Linked DNA regions of Caenorhabditis elegans. The protein of the gene in region 2 purifies or fractionates together with the protein of the main gene of each other region. This does not show direct contact. Each region holds a gene or a part of one and is shown on either strand. Other genes may lie near its edges.

The links.
Region 1: the proteins of nhr-242 (region 2) and glh-2 fractionate together in Caenorhabditis elegans (co-fractionation; one large-scale study listed by BioGRID). This does not show direct contact.

Annotation. Positions count from the first base shown.
Region 1 is NC_003279.8:6,512,097-6,523,673, reverse strand, and holds glh-2 (ATP-dependent RNA helicase glh-2), read right to left. Parts: upstream 9,747-11,577; 5' UTR 9,654-9,746; coding exon 9,620-9,653; intron 9,574-9,619; coding exon 8,836-9,573; intron 8,793-8,835; coding exon 8,718-8,792; intron 8,673-8,717; coding exon 8,406-8,672; intron 8,363-8,405; coding exon 8,288-8,362; intron 8,244-8,287; coding exon 6,999-8,243; intron 6,953-6,998; coding exon 6,849-6,952; intron 6,803-6,848; coding exon 6,621-6,802; intron 6,572-6,620; coding exon 6,367-6,571; 3' UTR 6,167-6,366; downstream 1-6,166. Other genes in the region: T10E9.5 (Serpentine Receptor, class Z), read left to right, coding at 232-594, 1,386-1,598, 1,648-1,728, 1,780-1,845; che-1 (C2H2-type domain-containing protein), read left to right, coding at 2,795-2,863, 3,547-3,683, 4,440-4,616, 5,042-5,226, 5,276-5,348, 5,919-6,099; C55B7.11 (Protein OSCP1), read left to right, coding at 10,026-10,312, 10,356-10,467, 10,516-11,056. UniProt on the Caenorhabditis elegans protein: Probable ATP-binding RNA helicase.
Region 2 is NC_003282.8:2,576,048-2,586,561, reverse strand, and holds nhr-242 (Nuclear Hormone Receptor family), read left to right. Parts: upstream 1-4,978; coding exon 4,979-5,180; intron 5,181-5,236; coding exon 5,237-5,302; intron 5,303-5,344; coding exon 5,345-5,394; intron 5,395-6,712; coding exon 6,713-6,981; intron 6,982-7,025; coding exon 7,026-7,132; intron 7,133-7,188; coding exon 7,189-7,412; 3' UTR 7,413-7,630; downstream 7,631-10,514.

The DNA.
Region 1 (11,577 bases), on a different chromosome or scaffold from region 2:
TAATGAGATTGTGCCCAAATTCTTTTGTTCGTTTTCTTCTTCCTCTTGTCATTTCCATGTTTGCCCTTCTTCTGCTCGAAAAAATTAGATAATGTAAGAAGATGAAATGAATCCTAAAAGATGGGCGTGGTTTATTTCTTTTTTCTTCATTTCTCTCCCACTCATCCACTTTCTTAGAAAAGCTTTAAGTGGTATTTTTCTTTTTTTTTTCTTTTTCTTTTCAAATAGAAAATGTCATCATCCAATATATCAATGCCTCTAACTCTAAAAACATTCTTTTCATATTCAATATCTATATTTCAAACTACCGTGTCATTCCTTCTGCTTTTATTAATACATTTCACAATTTCAACCAAACTATCAAAAATGCTTATTGATTCTGGAATTGCTTCAGTTGAAGCAAATAGAATACAACTTTTATTATTAATTTATGCGACAATATGTCCTTTGATTTATCATCTTCTAAAAAAATTCTTTCCACCATTTATTTCAAATCGAAGAAAATGGATAATAGTGGGTCTTACCACAATTGTAATATCAATTCAGCTACTACTCGGAGTCATTCTGTTGAAGAAAAACGTTCAAGGTTTTGAGGTAAAAACTTCATTGAAGTACGGACTTTGGGGAAATGATTTAAAATCATTTCAATGATGCTAAATTGCTTTAAATTTCTCGAACAGTGGCGCAAATACAGTGTTCACCACTTTTTGACTCGAAATGAAAATTGTTTCAATTTTTTCGAAAAAGTTTATTTTGATATTTGCTCAAATGAGCACCGTAATAGCACCGCAATAGTTTTCAATCGTTTCCCCAATGTCCGTACTCCACTCTCTTAACAATCATGCAAAGTGATAAATTACCAATTTTTAATTCAGAAAATTAAACTTTCCAGTTTTATCAATCTGTGTAAAAGGTTGCTGTAAATTGTTGAAAAAAATTTGAGTCTCTTGCCAAAAGATGTTGCTAAAGAGTTGATGAAAAACCTGATTTTAAAAAACAATCGAAAATAAAGTTTTAAAAATTTTCCATCTGTGATGGGAACAATCGTTAATACCCTTTTTATGAGGTTAAGACCTTTTATTACTTTTAAAAATAATATTTGGAATTTTGAGAAGTTTATATTTTTTGAATCAAGAGAGTGCAGGAATTGTAAGCTTCCGATATTTTTACAAAGCTTCAGTTGCTAGAAATTAAAAAACTGGTATTTTTGTCACTTTCCTCAAACTTTGGCACTTTTCATATAGTCCGTACTGGATTTTTATATAAAAATGTTTCCTTGGTTTCCATCCAAAAACACTTACAACAACTCAACAACAGATTTCAAATCAAAAATTGAACTGAAAAACGATTTATTTTACAATTTTTATATATTTTTTTAATTCCAGGTAAATCTTCGTCTTGCAATTTCTCTGAAATGTCTATGTTTTGTGATAATAACATCATTATCAATAGGTCCATTAATGATTCATAATATGTACTTGGATGCAGTATCTCCTCAATGTTCCGATCGTATCAATCCATATTTTATGAGCAACATGGGTTGTGCTCTTATTCGATTTTTCACTCTGTTGCCAATTATTATTATATGCGCTCTTTTTGTGAGTTTACGAATATCAAGTTTCAAATTTAAGTTCTGTAATTTTAAAGAACAAACCAGAGGATTATGTTCCATGTTTCACCGCTCTTTTGCCTCTTCTATCTGTTAATATAATGGCATACGCATTAGAAGTAAGATTTTTTCTTATTGATAATGCAATGGCCACACTAACCTTTTTTCAGAGTCCACCCAAAATTCATTTGGTATCAAACAACGAACGGAATGATGAGGTTGAATCACAATTCTAAAAATATTTTTTTTTTAATAATTGAATAAAGTTTTCATTTATGAAGTATTGAATACGCAATTAATTTTCAGAAAAAAAACAACCCTAGGCTTCTGGTTTATACGTTCGAAAACGTTTCAACTGTTGTTCACGATTTTCGGCAAGCCGTCAAAATGATCAAAGTAACCGGAATTGCTGATGACCCGATATTTTTGTCAGTTTTCAAACACAAGTAATACATTTCAAAACTGATACGTGCAAATGGAAAATAAAAGGATGACGAGTCCGCTGGTGAGCATTTAGGTTAAAACTCAAGGGCTCGCACTTTTTTGTATACCTGTATGAAATGGAACTACCTTAAACCTATTTCTGTAATACTTCTCAGGAGAAGAGGAAATATCACAGAGATTGCCAAAGAACAATCACCACTTTCTCGTGTTGCATGGTCTCTAGGTTATGCTGTACGAGTCTCGCTCGATCAGAAACTCCTCCTAAAAAGGCCTCAAAAGGCCATATATCGTCAGTTTTACGTTGATGTCTAACAGGCACGCCGATCTATAAATTAATATGTTTTGATATGATTATTAATCTTTGACAACTGATTCCAAAGAACTAATAAAAAATAATTTCAATGACTATACAACTAAAAAACTAACAAAATTGTTCTCTAAAATTGAAAAATAAGGAATCAGAATGTGTAGGAAGTTGTTAGTAAGTGAAGCCACAATTTTCATAGATAAGAAGAAACTACGGTATTCGGATTAAAATCTCTTCTCTCCCAATTTCTCTTCTTCTTCAGCTCATCATCGAATCTCACCTGCTCTTCCTGCCAAAAACATCACAAAAATAAAGAGGGTGGAGCTTCAGAGGATTACTGTACAACCTGTTATTATCTCAGTCTCTTTTTATTTTATTTTTTCTAAGCAAATCATTAATTGAGTTTTAAACTCTTGTTTTAATTGAAATAAATAATGTCTTATCATTATCAAATGAATAATAATAACACCGATTTCTTCGATTCGGCGAATTATATTCCGCAGGTAATTTGGATTTTTTTAAACCGAAAAAGTTTTCCCGATTCAATAAATATTTGAACTATAGGGAACCCATTAAGTTACTATAAATTGATTAGAAATCTGTTTTCTCTTTCTTTTCAGATTAAGTACGATAATTTTTCAAATTTCAAACAGTTCATATCTCAACAGTATTTTGTTTCATATAAAAATTACTAGGTGAAAAGTTTTGTTTTTTCATTTAAATAAACCGTCTATTAATGTTGCCCACCATTGCTCTACTTTGACGGCTCTAGAATTTGTATTTTAAATATTATGCTTAATATTTGATAGTTTAAAACAAGAAAAAAAAAATACAATTATGAAAATAATAAACTTCACATTATTAAACAAGTGAAATTTTGTATAGTCTATTTAATTTTCAACTGATAGTTAGCATTTTAATAGAAATACGAAATTGAAAATAAAACCTGTTATTGAAGTACATGCTACTTCTCTAATATTGAGTAAAAAAAATTTGTCTTGAACTTGACTCTAGCATCAAAGAAGTGTCAGCTACAGAACAACTCATCTTTATGTTGTAGTTGACAATATTTTGATATGATCTAATTTCTTAAAATAGAAGAGATTGCTTCGATCAAGGAGTATGAATAAAAATAAATTGAACCATTTTTTTGCGAAAACCAATAATTTTTTAATCAAAATTCCAGATGCAAATGCATCATGGATATCAAGATTTTTATGCATCTGATAGCACGTCATCAATGCCATCATCTGGAACTACTCAACAAGCATTGCAACAAACTGAAAATGGAATTATTCAGGGACAAAATGGAAGTGATCATGGGTAAGAACTCAACTAGTGCTAATCTAATAGATTTTCCAATTAACTGTTAGGACTACCTTTTAGAATATCTATTTAGATATAAAAAATAATTGGGCATACCAAATTGTGAATTTAATATATTGATATTTAATGCAAAAATTGAAAAAAAAAATAATCTGACATATTTTTGAAAGAAGTGATAAAAGATATTTATATTGTAAAGTTCAAATTTTCTGTGATGTGCCATAAAAAAATTTCGCATTATTATTTGATGTTTATAAATCGTTACATAAAAAATAAAATAAATTGTTACTCCTGAAAAGATTCACAAACAGGTACGAATAATTTTTGTCGTGGTGAGACCCATCTGAAGAGAACCATGCGCCTTTAAGTAGACTTTTCACAAAACTGCGAAACGGTAATTACCAAAGCATTGGTTTAAAAGTGATAAATATAAGATATCTACTTCATTTAAAAAGGGAAATAAACGTGACGAGTAGTGTCTAAACGAATAGAATGATTTGTTTGGGAGCACAGAAAAAAGAAAAGAAACCTAACCAGAAATAGGGATTCAAAAGTGTTTCATTTGATGCAAGAAGCTCTTTTGTGAAGAAGCTGTGGGACCCCAAGTGCTTCTGGAATCCGAAAAAAGAAGATCCCATACATGTGAAATATTAGAGAAAAACTAGAGGAATTAGAGACTAAATGAGGAAGAAGATGATGACTTACAATAGAAAAAATGAATTATTGCACTTGAAGGGTTGCTTTTCATTTTAGAGCATATGGAGGATGGCGACAGCATGATTGGAATTCCACGTCGTCATGGTCGATTGGAAATCAGTTGGAAATGGAGAATGGGACATTAACCATGAGTCATGGTGCAACGAATGATGGAAATATTCGAAATAATCAACAAATGATGACATCAAATCATATAACTACAGACTCTTTTCGGTTTGTTTTTACACTTTTTGCAGATGTTACGAGATAGACTCTTGAATCGATGTTCCTCAGAAAAAAAAAACAGCACCTGCTCTCGTTACGAATAGAATATTGGGAAACCGAGGCTACAGTAACCCACTCTTCCGCGTTTTATCTTTTACATTTCATGTGTATTAAGATTTCCATCAAATATGGTTTTTGAGGAGAAAAAGTGAAAAATCGAAAAAAAAAAACGGGGAGCGAGTTACCGTATCACTTGCAGGCCTTTGATCGGCTTCCGTGTTTCCGAGAGGAAAATTGCAAACATATATTTTTTGTGAAAAATCGAATGGGCTGTATATTAAACGTCCTAATTATAAGTTTTATTCAGATTTAAAACATAACTACATATTGACAAATAAGAATAAAAGGAATTCCAAAATTGTCATTAATTTCAGTCAGATCCCTCCATCCGGTCTCTGTTATATGGATCCAACTCCATCTCTTCGCCTTCCAAAGAAAGAACCTCTTCCAGTACAACGACCAATGGCAAGATCTACACCAAAACCTTTCAGATGTCAAACTTGTGGAAAAGCATTCTCTCAAGCAGCTAATCTAACAGCTCACAAAAGAATTCATACAGGTTGAGAAGTTTCAATCAGTTTACTGCAAATAATTCATAACTTTTTCAGGAGAAAAACCATTTATGTGTCCTGTATGTAATCGTCCATTTTCTCAAAGTTCTTCTCTTGTTACTCATCGAAGGTATTAGAGGAAGGGTCCATTACTATCCCCACACACCTGTCTGCTCCTTTCTGCCACCCAGCTGAGCTTAATCCCAATTTTTATTTGGATAATTGTAGGGATTCACTAAATGACAATATTATGATACCTCTCCATTTCCCTGCCCGGATTAAGAATTTTTATAAGAACTAAAGAAAATTGATTTAGAGGTTTGGATGGATAGAGTCTATGAGAATTCGCAAAAAAATGAATCATAACAATGTCTGGATTTCATTGTCTACTTGACAATTTTAATTTTCATGTGCTTGGTTTTCTGCATCAAATATAACAAATGCCTAAAGTTTGGCACCTGTAGCGACCATTATGACTGAGATCGTGGCGAGACACACTCGGAAAAACCGCATTTGTCTTTAAAGTGAAGTGTCAAAATTTTGGAGAATTTACGATATTTGTGATATCCTCCAATTTCTTATAATAATGTCAATAACGGCAAATAAAAAATATATAAATTGCAGGTTACCATAAGAAAAAAAATTACATTTTTTCTCGAATAGTAGAAACATATTGCAAGACTATTTTTCATTATTTCAGAACACACACTGGAGAGAGACCGTATCCATGTGCTCAATGTGAGAAGGCATTCACCGACAGCTCAACTCTTACAAAACATCTGAGAACCCATACTGGACATAAACCTTATGTTTGCTCAATTTGTATGATGAAATTCACACAGAGTGGGAACTTGCATAGGCACATGAAAACTCATAAATAGTTTTTCCTATTATGGAAGTAATGTTTCTAAATGAATATTGCCATTTTCTGCAAAATATTTTACAATCCACAAGTCTCGAACAAATTTAATCAATGTCTTGTTTTGATACAATTTAACAAATTCACTGTGGAGAGGATTTACTATAAAAACGTTTTACACCAGCAAAAAATCAATAGAACATTTACATGATAAGGAGAATATATAAAAAGGGGGCATTATAATTTACTGATACAATATGGACAACATTTGAAGGATATGCAGATACATCTACCAGCAATCTTCATCTTGCTTTTGAGTTGGAACGCTGCTTTCGAATCCAAAACTAGCTCCGAAATTTCCCCCTGAAGCTCCTTGCATCCACTCTGGAACCAGTTGATCCGCGTCAGAGAGAACGCGAACAAGTTCGGACAGAAGATTACAATCTTCAGAGATGAAACTGGTGGCTCTTCCAGCGTTTCCAACTCGACCCGTTCTAAAAAAAACATGGCTAGCACATGAACATTAGAAATATCTGATTTAACCTTCCAATACGATGAATGTAGTCATCAATGTTGTCTGGCATGTCATAGTTGATGACATGATCCACTCCTTTGATATCAAGTCCACGTTCGGCAACCGCAGTAGCAATAAGAACAGGTTTCGATCCATTTCGGAATTGTCTCAAAGCCTCTGAACGCTCTCTCTGCTCACGGGCACCGTGGATCTAAATTGGAAAACAAAATTAATAATGGTTAAACTATTGTACCAACCGTGATTGCTGGTACTTGAGCCGATGATAAAATGGAGGCCAACGTATCAGCCATTGCTCTTTGCGAGACAAAAACGATAGTCTTCTTAGTGTACACTTCAGAATCTGAAAATTGGGATATATATAAACGATAAAAAAAACAGAATCACACTTTTTTCTGTCGTGTAACTGTCGATATCAATTCCTAGAATTTCCAGAAGTTTGTCCTTCTTTTCGCTTCTATCGCACTTTTCAAACTCCTGAAGGACGCACTTGTTGGCGGCCCCAATTTTGTCGATTGCAAGCATTATGTAGCCTTCCTTCAGATGATTTCGAGCTGCTTCCTGTACAGAATCGGGGAAAGTAGCACTGAACATGAGTGTCTGACGATTTTCTTTCTTCGGCATGCTCTCATAATTGACAATTGTATCGATGTCAGTTCCGAATCCCATAGCATCGATCATACGATCAGCCTCGTCAAGAACAAAGAAGCGGCATTTGTCAAGCTTGATGGTACCCTCTTCACAGAAGTGCTTGATTCTTCCGACAGTTCCGACAATGATCGTGGCTCCTTTTTCGATCTGACCCTTATTATAACCCACTGCCAATCCTCCGTAAACTGGTCTGATCTCCATCATTGTTTGATAAGCAAACTTTCTTCCCTCGTTGTAAATTTGATCAGTGAGTTCACGAGTCGGAGTCAGGATGATGCAACGGGGATAGCAACCTCCTTCTCCGGCAGTGTTCAGATCATTTTCATCAATCAGACGAGCCATGATTGGCAGAAGGAATGCAGCGGTTTTTCCTGAACCAGTTTGAGCACAAGCCATGATATCATGTCCTTGATGAATAAGTGGAAGAGTATATTGTTGAATTGGAGTGGTCTTAGTGTAGCCTGCATGTGCGACATTCTTCTTCATTGTTTCGCCCAGATTAGCTTCGGAGAACGTCTTACAAGTCTTAACTCCAACGGGTTTTTTATCAGACGTGATTTTAACTTCAGCATCAAAAAACTTGTTGAACATGAGACCTTCCGAAATTTTCTGCATGTTAAAAACTTCTTCCATGTTGTCTTCGACTGGAACGTATGTCGCCTTCGGTCCTTCTCCTTCAGCACCTTCCCTTGGCTTGGCTGGATTGGGACACTCATTCGAGCGATGACCTTGCTCGCCACAATTGAAACATCCACGTGGTGGCTCCGGACATTCTGCAGAGCGATGCCCCTCGCCTTTACAGTTGAAGCATTTCATCGGACCACGTTCCTCGTTATTACCGAAGCCTTCAGCATTTCCGCCACCGAATCCACCATCATTTCCTCCTCCGAAACCAGAGGTGAATCCATTGCGGCCTTCACGCGGTTTCCGCTCTTCCGGACAATCGCGAGAGTTGTGACCGGGCTGTTGACAATTGTAGCACACTAAAAATGAAAAATTACGTCTAAAAATTATTTTAAACTAAAACCTCTGGGTTCCCTTTCCTTTTTCGGCTCTGGACAGTCATTCGATCGATGTCCTGGCTGCTGACAATTGAAACAATCTATAAGCAACGTGAAGAGATAGATTTCAAGCAGCAAACATACTATTATTCCTTTCGCCTCGATCTTGTCCCCCACCGCCGCTTCCGAATCCATTCGAGTTACCACCAAAACCTCCCGAACCGAAGCCAGATTCACCATTGTTACCACTACCAAATCCGTTAGTTAATCCACTGTCGAATCCAGTTCCACCACCATTTCCTCCTCCGAAACCAGAGCTTCCACCGGTGAATCCATTTCGGCCTTCACGCGGTTTCCGCTCTTCTGGACAATCGCGAGAGTTGTGACCAGGCTGCTGGCAATTGTAACACACTAAAAATAAAACAGATTACGTCTAAAAACATTTTAAGCTAAAACCTCTGGGTTCCCTTTCCTTTTTCGGCTCTGGACAGTCATTCGATCGATGTCCTGGCTGCTGGCAATTGAAACAATCTAAAAGCAACGTGAAGATATAGATTTCAAGTAGCAAACATACTATTATTCCTTTCGCCTCGATCTTGTCCCCCACCACCACTTCCGAATCCATTCGAGTTACCTCCTGAACCGAAGCCACTTCCACCAGAGTTGCCTCCACCGAAACCTCCTGATTTTCCTCCACCAAACCCAGATTCATGATTGTTGCCACTACCAAATCCATTGGTCAATCCGCTACCAAAACCAGATCCACTGTTGCTATTACCGCCAAATCCAGTTCCACCAGCTTTTCCACTGCCGAATCCAGTTCCACCAGCTTTTCCACTGCCGAATCCAGTTCCACCAGCATTTCCACTGCCGAATCCAGTTCCACCAGCATTTCCACTGCCGAATCCAGTTCCACCAGCATTTCCACTGCCCAATCCAGTTCCACCAGCATTTCCACTGCCGAATCCAGTTCCACCAGCATTTCCACCGCCGAATCCAGTTCCACCAGCATTTCCGCTGCCGAACCCAGTTCCACCAGCATTTCCACTGCCGAATCCAGTTCCACCAGCATTTCCACTGCCGAATCCAGTTCCACCAGCATTTCCACTGCCGAATCCAGTTCCACCAGCATTTCCATTGCCGAATCTGGGTCCAACGTTGTTATTACCGCCGAATCCAGATCCACCATTGTTGCTACTACCAAATCCCGTCCCGCCTGCATTTCCACTTCCAAAACCACCAGTGTTACCGCTACCGAATCCCGATCCTCCGCCAAACCCTGATGGATTGCTTCCAAAACTGATGGTTTTCGCTACAATAAATCAGCATTAAATATTTCATTAAAATTTTATAAAAACCTGCAGCAGTATTATTATCCCAATCGTCAGACATCTTCGAACTTCCAGGAAAAAGTACAAGTTTGGCGTTTGCAAACCAAAAAATTTTAAATGAATGGAAACTCAGAAACTCGCGCGCAAAAGATTTGAAATTTGCCGCGCGGGAGTACTGTAGAGGACGAACGTGGCGAGACCCTTGTCCTATGCTGCTCGTATGAGCCTTTTAAAAACTCAATTTGGGATTTTCTGAATACAATTTCAGTATCCTTGCATCGCACTTTTTGCCATACCAGTAATACTTTGTGGAACCTTCAGAATTTTTCTTTCTGAAAATAGTTTCCCTAATTAATCTGGAGACCTTTTTAAACTTAAACGTTCGTTTATCTTTTGGCATATTTAATTTACAATTTAATTAATTTTTTCAGAAATGAATATTAGTGTACTGGACGCAATTCATGCTCTCAACGAACTTTCAATGCAAGACTATTTGCCTCGTCCGCGAGGAGGAGGAGTTCTTCTCAGCCACATAACTCAGTATTATCAAAGCAAGGATGGAATCGAACCCCTCGCGAAAAAAATTATCGAGTCACTGAGAAGCCATACAATGAAGGACGACGATATGGCACACATTTCATGCCAATCAATGATTGCAATGGTCGCAGAACCGTTGCCTATGGAAGAAAAATCATGGATTATTCAACTTCTGATTCAATGGTAATAACTCTGAATTTGGCCAAATTTAAACAATATTCTTAAGGGTTCATATCACGAATACTGCCAACGACGTTTTAGCTTGTATTCTTCAATCCCTTCGGTCATTCAACGTTCATTTTAACGAAGTATACGCGATTCGGACGGCGATTTTCAACGTAAATTTGTTTGAACATCAAATTTTGCCTTCAATTAAAAAATTGCAGTATGTCACACAACCAGAGCTTAACACTGAAACGTTGATTGAGATCTTACCGGACGGAAAACTCATTCTGAACCCACGTGACGCTTCAAAGTATGCTGAAAAACCTTGCGATGAACATATTTTCATTCTCAAACAGCTTCAAAAACTGGTTTCATACAAGAAATTCACGTACTTCACGGCTCTGATACAATATGATTTTGCTCGCTGTAACTCTGAAACTCGCTGCAGCCAGATTTCTAGACCAATATCAAACTACAAGTCTTCTGGATTTGATATGGAAAATCAAAGTTTATTCTCTGTTGGTTTTGGAAAGTATTCCTTCTCGGATGGTGTTTCTCCTGCTGAGGATTTGATGACTAACGAGCATAATTCGGCATTGGAAATGTATCAAAGTAGTATGAAAGCCCTTGAAAATTTCAAGTGCAATGAAAAATTGGTTGGAAAACAATGGGTAGTAACAACGATTGAAGAAGATAGTGATGATGAAGTCGATGAGGAAGAACAATGGAACCTCTCAGCTACCGAAGCAACATCCGATTCTGGTCAGTTTATTTTAAAAATTTTCATAAGATTGAAATAGATTATATCGATCAAACTTTATATTTTTAGGGTATCATGAAAAATGAACAATTTTCGATTGTTCGATTTTCCTGAAAAATAAAAAAATTTAGAAAGTTAACAAAGAAAAATCAGTTTCAAAAAATTATTGTTTTGTTGATGGGAAAAATCATAAGAAAACATAATTTTCTTCTAAAAAGAAGATAAACTCTAAAAATGAAATATTTTTCGAAATATCGGAAAAGCGAAAAAATTTCGATTTTCCTGAAAAACGAAAAATCGGAAAATTTTTTAAGAAAATGTTTAATAATCAATTTTTTGTGTTGATGAAAAAAAAATTAAGGAAACATGAATTTATTCTAAAACGAGAAAACCCGCAACTTTTTAAAAAAATGTAAACAAAAAAATGTTTTCCTGAAAAACGATAAATCGGCACCCTTGATCCTAGCTGTGGAGTTCACAAAATTTATGGAGTTTTTAAAAGCTTCACATATTAGTAACCTAC
Region 2 (10,514 bases):
AAGTTTTGTAGATGTTAGTTTGAGGTACCATTTCTCAAAAGTTTCAAATATAAGGGCAGCCAGTAGAATTGAGATGAGCAATGCAGCAACAAGCACTGAAAAAAAGATGAAAGTTGAACGTTTTACTATTGTTTTATCTAATCCTAAGCGTTTGTTACACGACAAGGAGTTCCGTTATTGCCATTTAGACTTACATAGCTTGTTGCCTTCGTAAGTGAGCTTCCAGTAGGAATAAATAGGCCAGTGAATTAGATAAAGTGAATATGAGATATCTCCAATGTAGGTTAACACTCTATTTGACAGAACTGCATTATCTTCAGATATAAGCATTAAACATCCCGTCCCAATAGTCACAAGTGGTCTGCAAATGTTTATATACATAGGACAGAATAATAACGAAATTAAACTTTCTTATTGCCAGAAATATTAAATTATACTGACGGCTGCTTAAGCCATGTACAAAACTATTAGAAAAAAGAGGTTGTACCTTATAACTGACGCATCTAATGAGGTTGGAAGTAAAGTTATGAGGACTAGGCCGGTTAATAGCAAATATGCGATGATCGTTGTAGGATCACAACGCTCAGAATGCGTGTTGGATTTACTGCTAACATATTTGCTGTCGTCATCAGTGAGCAAGCTCTCAAAAGCTTCTGTCTCTTTTGTAAGCTCGACGTATTTCACACCTCTTTGCTGCTCAGAATAATCAAGTAGATACACAATTATTCCTGAAAATTTCTACCTATCAAAAATTTTGGAAAAAACACGCAACTAACCAATTGAAAACTGCCAAATCCTCGCAAAAACGCTATTGAATGCTACCGATTGAGGGGATGAGAAGAAAAAAGAATATGACACAATTCCTGGAATTCAGCTTTGTTATAGAAGGTATAAGATTATATATAATATATAAGACTATAAATATATAAGACTAGTCTTGGCTAAAAAAACAAAAATAAAAATCTTGGATTTTCGGTAGAATTTTCATAGCATTCGATAGGAATTTTTTTAAATGTAATATTATGGGTACATTTTTGGACCTGGAAATTCAATTTCAGCCGCTCTTGAAGGTGCCTATATAAATATATATATAAGTATGTATACGTATATATAAGTATATATATATATACTATATATAAGGTACCTATAAAACCAACCTATAAATGCGTAGTACCCATTTTCAAATTTTGATGGCAATTTTGTGGCTAACAGGAAGATGAAAGGAATTAAAAAGTAAAATTGAATTTCAACTGACAACGACCAGGTATGAGTGAATATGTCTATTGCTTTTGTGAGCTGGAATTATAGGATGTATCAATCAAATCGGAATTATATACCATCATAAAGTAATCCTGTGCTTCTGTTTTTGGAGTATTTGACACAAACAATAGAGCCCGTATCGCAGATTCCTGATTTGTTTCAACTACGATGTCCGGGAAAAATGAATAGAGACAAATCATGGAACAAAATATGATTAGTAGTAAAGTGGTAGAATTCTTTTAAATCTTTTGCTATAGAATATAGTTATCAGAGTACATGGTGGCTCCTTCTCAGCTCTCTTTAATAGCATACACATAAGAAATCCAGATAATACAAAGAATCTGAAAATAATAATTATAGTTTCATAAATTAGAAAAATTGGTACACTTACTGATCAACACCTAAATATCCATTTGGAAAAGTGTCAGGGTAAAAATGGAAACCGAGAACTGCAATTATAGCCAAACCACGTATACCTTGTAGGTCAAATCTTTTTTGTGATGGTTTTATTGGCGAGTAACCCATCTGAAATTTTCTATGTTATTTTGAGATGAAAATAGAAATTTAAGAAATTAAAAGTGAACACGGAAACTGAAACATATATGTTTGTGTTATGAACTCACAATAAAACGAAACACAAATTGAATATACCTCCCTACATAAAAAAAAACGGAACATACATGTCTCTATAGAATCAGGTTGAGTTATGCGTGGAAAATAAATCGTTGAAAAAAAAGAAAAAATGCCAATTGTCCGAATAAGAAACTCTTTCAATGTTTGCTCTTCAGATTAAAAAGTGAGCCACGGTTGATAAAACGAGAGTCCAAATATTTCAGTCGTTTTAAAACAAGAAGTTTGAATTCTCTAGTGCACTTAATGTTCACCAAATTCAAATAAAAAGCACAAATTTCATCCCGTTTCTTGAAAACCTTCACAACTATCCAATAGTTAATTTCATTCCTAAGAATGCAATAAATTTTTCCTCTATCAGCACACAACAGTACACATTTCACACCCTTTTAGAAATTGCTTCAGGAAATCATTCAAAAAAGTGATGACCGCGAGTTTGCAAGCATGTTTATTTTGAAAAATACATGATATTGCAAAATAAATAGCTGGAAGCATTATGAAATAAATATAAAATCGGAATAGGGCAAATTCATTTATTCGAGACCATTTATTACACTACCCATATAAAATTTAAATACTGAAAACCAAAGGACATTTATTAAAATTCAAATTCAACAAATGTAATGCTGCTTTTCAACGTTTATAGATTAAGGTTATACTATAAAAAGAACCATAAAAATAATCGCAAAGAGCACCTCCATACCAAAGAATTCACTATTTTTCCATAGGTTCCTTTTTATCAGTGGAAAATGAGTCGTAAAAGTAAAGGAAGTGTTGTAGAAGTGAACTACGTTTTAACTAATAGGCATGGATATGAATAAAAATAAAACGATCAGAATGACTTTATATGTTAACCAGCGTTGATAAAACAGCAGTGCAAATATTTCCAGTTGTTTTAAAACAAGAATTTTGAATTATACAATGTATTAAACATTCACCAGATTTAAATAAAAAGTAAAAATTTCATTCAGTTTCTTGAAAACCTTCACAATTGTTTCACATATTTATAAAAATGCAATAAATGTTTCCTCTATCAAAACACAAAATTTTTGTTTATAGACATTTCACACCCTTTTAGAAATGCCTTCAGGTAACCATTCAAAACGGTGCAGACAACAAGTTTGTAAGCATTTGAAAAGTATACAAAAACACGATGAAAGGATTATGAAATCAAAAAATCAAACAAAAATCGTGGGTTTTCGAGTTTGAAGTACTCTCAAGTTGAGATGTGGTTGCCATTAGCATTAGCAACACTCAGATGATCTTCATGTGATTCGTTGTTCAAATCTGAATATTCATTTTTCCAAGAAAATCACTTCATATATTTGAGACCATTTATTAATACTACCTATAACAAAGTTTAAATACTGAAAACTCTAATACTTCAGGATCATCATAGTTTCGCACAAACATCCGTCCAAATGTGTCCCAACAAGTTTACTGATGTGTCTGAGACAAAACATACCATTTTTGCAGAAATAATTTTCTTCGCCAAGTTGCATATTTGCGGATTATTTACAAAATTCTAGCTTAAATAGAAGATCCGTCCAATTTCAACGAATTCTTTCCTGTATTTCCGGCTTTGCCTTTGCTTTTCTTTGTTTTTGAAATGAGATCTAAGCCAATTTAAACACTTTCAATTTAAACGGACATTTCGCAAAAAGTCTGTGTAAACACTACAAAAATCACAAAAATCTCTACCACTCCCAAAAAAAAAATCAAAATAAAAACGCTAAAAATAGAATGAACGCCACCCTCAGTAGGTAAACAATACAGTACTCTTTTCATACAAATTAGGACTTATTTTAAAATCAAGTTATAGACAACGGGAATACATAGAATACTTGGCATTCACTTTAAGCTTTCACCAACTTTTTATCACGCGGCGCTGTGTAAAATGAAGATCAATTTTTGAAGTTTCAAAAAAATAATTTTTTTTCAGTTGTAATTAAGTTTCGAATTTCAAAGTTGCCTAGTGCAATAATCGTTGGTAAGATGGTAAGATAGGTTGCGCTAGAAAACTCAAAGTTTTGTCTGACGTGGTATAAACTTGGTTAGAAATCTAATGAATGCTAAAATTAAAAAAAAGCTTTATGTACTCCAGTTGTCTTTAACAAATTGCTGATTTTATTCCAAAATTGTCCCAATTTGCATTAAAAGACTACTGTATTGTCTACCTATCGGCTGCTGGGGGTGGCGTTCTTTTTTTGAACCATTTTGATTCTGCTTCACTAAGCTGGTAGAGATCTTTGTAGTGTTTACACAGGCAACATGACCTTTTAAATTCGAGCGCAAGTTGAGGTAGGCCTATTTTTAAGGGTGAAGATTACATGAGGGTCCTACCACAACTTGATGATTATGGTATAATTATCCCCGCAAATATCTATGAAAAGCTTCATGGACTACCATCATGACATCTGACAAAATACATTGACTGTAACAAAACCACGACATACAAACAAAAAACAGCTACACTTGGCAAGTCGGAACCACTTCTTCACAAACTTTAGCCACGTGGAAAAGTTGGTTAAAATTGGTCGAAGTTGGTTAATTTGGGCAGTATTTTCACGCTCTGAACAACTGGAAAAAACTTGGTGAGAGTTGACGAAGATTGGCGAAAGTTGGTTAAGAAGTGAACAAAGTTGGTTAGAATACAGAAAAATTTGTTTGGAAAATAGTTGAAATCTAATGAATGTTAGAAAGTGGCTAAAATTGGTTGAGAAGTGGCCACGAATTGCTGAGTACGTGAACCATTTAAACTGTTATACAGTCACCGTCTTCCTAGTAGTTTGATATACTTCAAACAACTGTTCTGATAGTGAGATACAGTTAAAGACAATGATCCTTATAGACAATAAATGAAAATTTCCGCCACAGATGACTAAACTACGTGTAAAATTATTGGCCAGTGATGTTTAGAATGTTTGAACAACTGTTAGGATGTTAATTTTCGAGTCGAATCGGATAATTTATGTAGAAACTGAGCAAGAGTAAATAAAAAGGTCCATTGTTTGATTCCTAGAATTTTCGAATAAAAAGAGGAGAGCTATGGGTGAGGTGCACAATTGAGAGAAGCTCTTGCAAAAAAATGTCATCCCTAGGCTCCACAACTTCTTCTTCCACTCCATCAAGCCAAACTTCTGAACTATGCGCTGTTTGTGGTGGGAAAGCGAGTAGCAGTCGGTATGGAGCCTTGTCTTGTATCGGATGTCTTGTATTCTTCCGAAGAATGACTTGCGGCGAGAAAAAGTGGTATTGCCTGCGGAATCGGAATTGCGAGATCAATATAGGTAACTATTTACATAAGAGTTTTGAAGCGCAATAACAACCAATCGGTGTTCTTTAGCTACAAGAAACACATGCCGTGCATGCCGACTTCAGAAATGCCTGAACGTAGGAATGAATCCAAATGGTTAGTTTTATATTAAATCTAGCCAACAAGGCCAATTTTCAGCCATTCAGCGACGGGACGAAATTGGGCCGAGAAAACCGAAGGTTTCTAAGGTAAGAAACTTGAGTGGTTTGTTGCAACTACAACAAAACCACTAAATGCAGCATCGGCTAACTTGCGCTCAAAATTTTAGTTTTTCGGGAGAAACACAGAACAATGTGAGTTGCCAATCTTACTAACGATAAGAGCATAGTAACGAGATTCAGCAGTGACTCGAAACCAGGGGAAGGCGCAATCAAACTTTTGGCAATTTCGGCAATTGCTGCCGATTGCCAAAAAATTGCCGGAAATCAGAACTGCCGGAAAAATAAATTTGATAATTTTTGTAGATTTAAGAGCATATACAAATTTTATCTTTTCATATTTAAAATCATTGAATCCTTGCTGGATTGAACGCTTTCTGTTAGAAAATGACTAATCGAATACTGAAAAACAAGGTGAAACATTTTCAATTTCCGAAACATAACATTCCGCAATTGCCGGAGTTGCCGATTGCCCGAAAAATTTTTGTTTGGCAACTGTAAAAATTTCCGATTGCCACACACCCCTGCTTGTGTAGTAATTTTACTGTAGAACACCAACTGATATCTTCAAATTGAATTCCTTCAAACTATTACACAAAAATAAAAGGGATGTAATTTATACTGAAACATTCACTTCATAGCATACTCCTGCAACTTAATAAAAACATTTATATAACTTTGTAAAAAGCTGTTAAGAATTTGCGAAAACCGACGGGATTGTGAGCGAAATTTAGCTTTACATCTGCTAAGAAATTGCAAAAGTCGTCTGAAAAGCTGCAGAAGTTTGCTTAAAAGCTAAAATGCCTAATTGTTGTTAAGAAGTTGCAAGAGTATGCTATGAATTTAGGCCGTTTTGCCGAGATGGTCGAGTAGCGCCAGTGGGGATTTTGTCTAAATGCACTTATAATGATCCAAAACAACGGAATATCATAATAAAACACTCAAAAAAATTTAGATTTTTCATAATTTCCGCTGAAAGTTTTAGCAAATTGCCGAAATTTTGAAAAATACGAGCTTTTGAGGAAATTTAAACCAATCTCGCATGTTCCGGCCCCTACAATGTTTTAATACATTTAATTAAAACATAATTAAAACATAAAAAATGTCGAAAAAAACATTTTTTTTTTTGGTCGGCTTCCAAAATTATGAGTGTCAAAATCTGAGTAATTGCCACTTTTTGACAGTAAATAAAAAGTTTTCAAAATTGTATTGAAAAGTTTTATCATGATATTTGGTCATTTTGGGACCAAAGGAGTAGTTTTAAACAATTTCCCCACTGGCGCTACTCCACCTTTGGTGTATAATTTTCAATCGGTATGCTTTAATTCTGCAAAAACCACTGCTTCAGTTCAGCCAAAAGCAATATAACGCTGCAACCTCGAGCGAATGTGCAATGTGCCTACATATAGGATTTCAAAATGCATTGGAATGGGCAAATCAACTCGAGTCTTTTTCAATGTTAAGCCATGTAGACAAGCAGAATATTTTATCAGAATATGGTATTGCATTCACACTTATTGATCAAGGTTACAAGACGGCACGCGATGCTGATGAACAATGCTGGTTACTTCAGAATGGCAGTGTGCTGCATTGTGAGCAACTTTTCAACAGTTCTGAGTGAGTTCTTGAATTGAATATACTTTTAGTCTGAAGTTTTTCAGTGCTGACTTGGTCAACCAGTTGATTGCAAATATCAGTCAGCCATTGAAACGTCTAGAACTAGATGAATATGAATGTGGCCTGCTGAAATCATTGCTTCTGCTGTCTTGTTAGTTTTTTTTCTAAATTTAATGAGTACTTAACTTATTTTTTTGCTGATTCCAGCCTCGTTTCCTGGCGAAGTGCAACTAAACTCACAGCAATCTCGAGCAAAATGTTTAACAGAAATGCTACAACACAGAAATGATCCAGAACGGTTTGGAGAAATTATTTTACTAATCGGTTCAATTAGAAGTTCAGTTAAATTATTTTATAACCAAACGAAACGTTCAGACCTTTTCAATGTTCTCAATTTTAGTTATTTTGTTAGGAATAATATGGCTTGTTGAACTTGTTAACTTGATTTATGTATTTTAAAAATGTCGAAATTGAGAGTAAACAACTACACTGCAACTTATTTTTTGAACGAGGGACGAGGAAAAGCGGTTTCTAAAAAATTGCTCATCTGTAAACGTTTACGCATTGTGTTTGAATATGTTGTGATTTAATCTTTCTCGAGTTTATAACAATCAAAACACTCACTAATATTAATGAAAATTACATTTACTGCTGTAGTCGATAATAGTCTTTTTGAATGTTAGAACTGATCTTTTCACCTAGATCCCATTTAATACGTTAATACACTTCTTACAATTTCACTGATTAGCAAAAGTCACGGAGAATTGTACATAAACATGGGCCAGTTTGTGATTCTGATAAATAGTCACAAGTTCAAATGAAACTTTACAAATTGTCCCAAATTATTCAATTGCGAGTTTGAACCTGAAAAGTCTAAGTTTTCCAACAATTTCTACAAAATTCCAGCCTACCTCTTCACTTTCCACAGAATTTGGGTGTAGTATGGGATGCAACAACTGCATTTGTCATAAAGATAAACTGTGGGGAACACTTAAACCTTTACTGGTAGTCAGCGAGTGTCACTGATTTTTGCTAACGCGTATCAGTGGTAGTTGCGATCCACCAGCTTTAGTTTCTCGTTTATTTTAAAAGTAGTCCCCTCGAATGTTCTTCTCGTTTTACCGTTTCCCGTTTTCTGATTATTCTGGCAGTGCGATTAGTCGCTATTCTCGTGCTGTATCTTCAAGAGGATTCTCGGATTCAATGGATTGGTAGCTAACACTCGGGAAGCTTAGGAGCACATTTGCAAGTCGAGCGACGATGGATTCGGTGGAAAGTAAGGTCAGTTTAGTGAAGGTCGGCTGAAGTTAGGGGTAGTACACCTGACGTACTGGTAAGAGAACCATCTATCTTATAAGCACGACACCGCTGTAGGGTCACATCGAATGCTTTCCCTGCCTCCTCAGGGGAAGTATTCACACATCTGGATTTCGTAACTTCGTCGGGGAGTGTTAAAATCAAATATGTTTAGCACTCTGGGGTCAAAATTTAACAATTTTCGCTCATTATGTTTACCTCTTATTTTAGGAAAAACTTTTAATAAAATGTTGCAGACGGGTTTGAGTAGTGTCTCATTTTTCAAGACCGATTAGCCACAAATCAGGATTTCGAGCTCCAACTCAAATTCACTTTCCAACCGTCTCCGCACGGGTTCTCCTCTATTAAAAATAGTGTTTCGTGCTCATGGATGCAGTAGTGGCAGACTGGCAAATCCGCCGAGCTGAATTTCCTTCCTGAAGAAGACCGGTATGCAGTGGAGCGAACTCAGATGGAGATTGGTTGTGCTTCAACGTGGCATTTGGCTGAAGCGGCGTCGGTGATGATTAACGAGTTGGTCAGAGTTTCGCATAAAGGATTTGGAGAGTCAGGTAACTGAAGGTTTCGGTTGTTTTTGAAAATTTCTAGTGAGGCTTGTGAGAGTCTCACTCTGCGGACTCAATTCCGTGCATTTTATAATTGGTGTTAGAGGTGGAGGAAAATTTGTTAATTCCTGAAGCGCAGGTGGCGCAGAAGGAGGTGAGATGATCGAGGAGTCCTCGAGAAATCAATCGTTGCAAAAGCAGCAAAACCGAGTACCGCGTCGGATGGGGCGTGTCAGCATAAGAGGAGTATGTTTGACAGCAGGTAGCTCGATGGGAAAATAATTAAAAATCATCGTGAGAGATGAGTTCACGGGTTTCGAATGCAATAATTTCGTTACTGATGTGAGTCCGTTGTCAGTAGCGGAAAAATTCCAGTTTATATTCATCTTGTTCAGACAATCGATAAGTTTGTTCAAGAAGGTCGCAAGAGATGATGATACAGGTAGAGAAATGAGATTTCTCAAGTGTCCTTTGGGAGACCCAAGAGTGGCGAAAATCAGGATGTATTTCTACAAGAAATTCGGTGAGCAATCGAGGAGCTCATACGATCGGAGGTCGGTCGTGGAAGAGGATGCGGGACGGAACAACAAGTTCACATGAAGATCAAGACAAGTGGCAGTCGAGGATCGGGTCCAGAGCATCAAGAAGACGGAAAGTCGATGGTCAATGGCTAGCGGAGGAACGCAGGAAGAATCTAAGATTCTAATGTAAGTATTTCATTCAAAATATTGCGGTATCATGACCGTGCCTTTATTCGTGAAGCCAGTTGACAAAGTGAAAACTGATATAATGTGTCAGTGTGTGATTTTAAAATCGATACAGCGTCTGTAACGCTGTAAAAGAATCCAGTATGGATTGGGCAATTATTTTTGCCGTACCTGACTTTGGAAAGTCTTGCTGATCGCCAACGGAGGATCCAAGAGCATCGGATGTGGCGAGTCAGCGTAATGCAGTTCAGCATATTTGATTGTGGAAGCGGAAGAAGAAAGACGTCATCCTGTCGAGTAAGGTAAATTTTTGTTTGTTTTCTTCCTCCCGGTCTCAGAACCGGTTTTATTTTCCACATTAATCATACATTTTCGAGACAGAAATTTTTCCGTTAAGAAAGGTGATTGAAAACCATTGAGGTTCAACATTTTGAACGCAAATCTTTGAAGAATTTTAGAAATTTTTTTTTTCTGATCGAAGAAGTTCGAGGTGGCTGGGAGGATGCACATGAAGATCCCAGCGGAGATTTTCGAGCAAATATCAAGGAGATGCTCTTGTGTCGATGACTGAGGACGATGCAGCAGCATTCAAAGGAGAATCGAGATCGAAGTTTTCGAGATTTAAGGAATGAGGTTTCTATGGAAACGAGCGGAAGAGTGAAATAAAGCTGATACTGAAGAGTGCGCCAATGGTTCAACCGATCGATTATTTGGAACAAAAAGGACGTGGTTCTGATGGTCGATGCGAAATTCGAGAGAGAAGACAATTGGTTCGGATCTCAAACAGTTGCATGGCTCCGAACGCAAGGATTTTAGTGTCAAATCCAACGAATGACGAAGAAGACGCTGCAGAGGACGAAGAAGAAGGCCCAGACAACGTCGTCAGCCAGTCGATCGTGGAGGAGAAGCTGGCGGTTCGAAGAGACTCCGGAGAAAGAAGAAAGCTGAGAGCTAAACAGTTTTA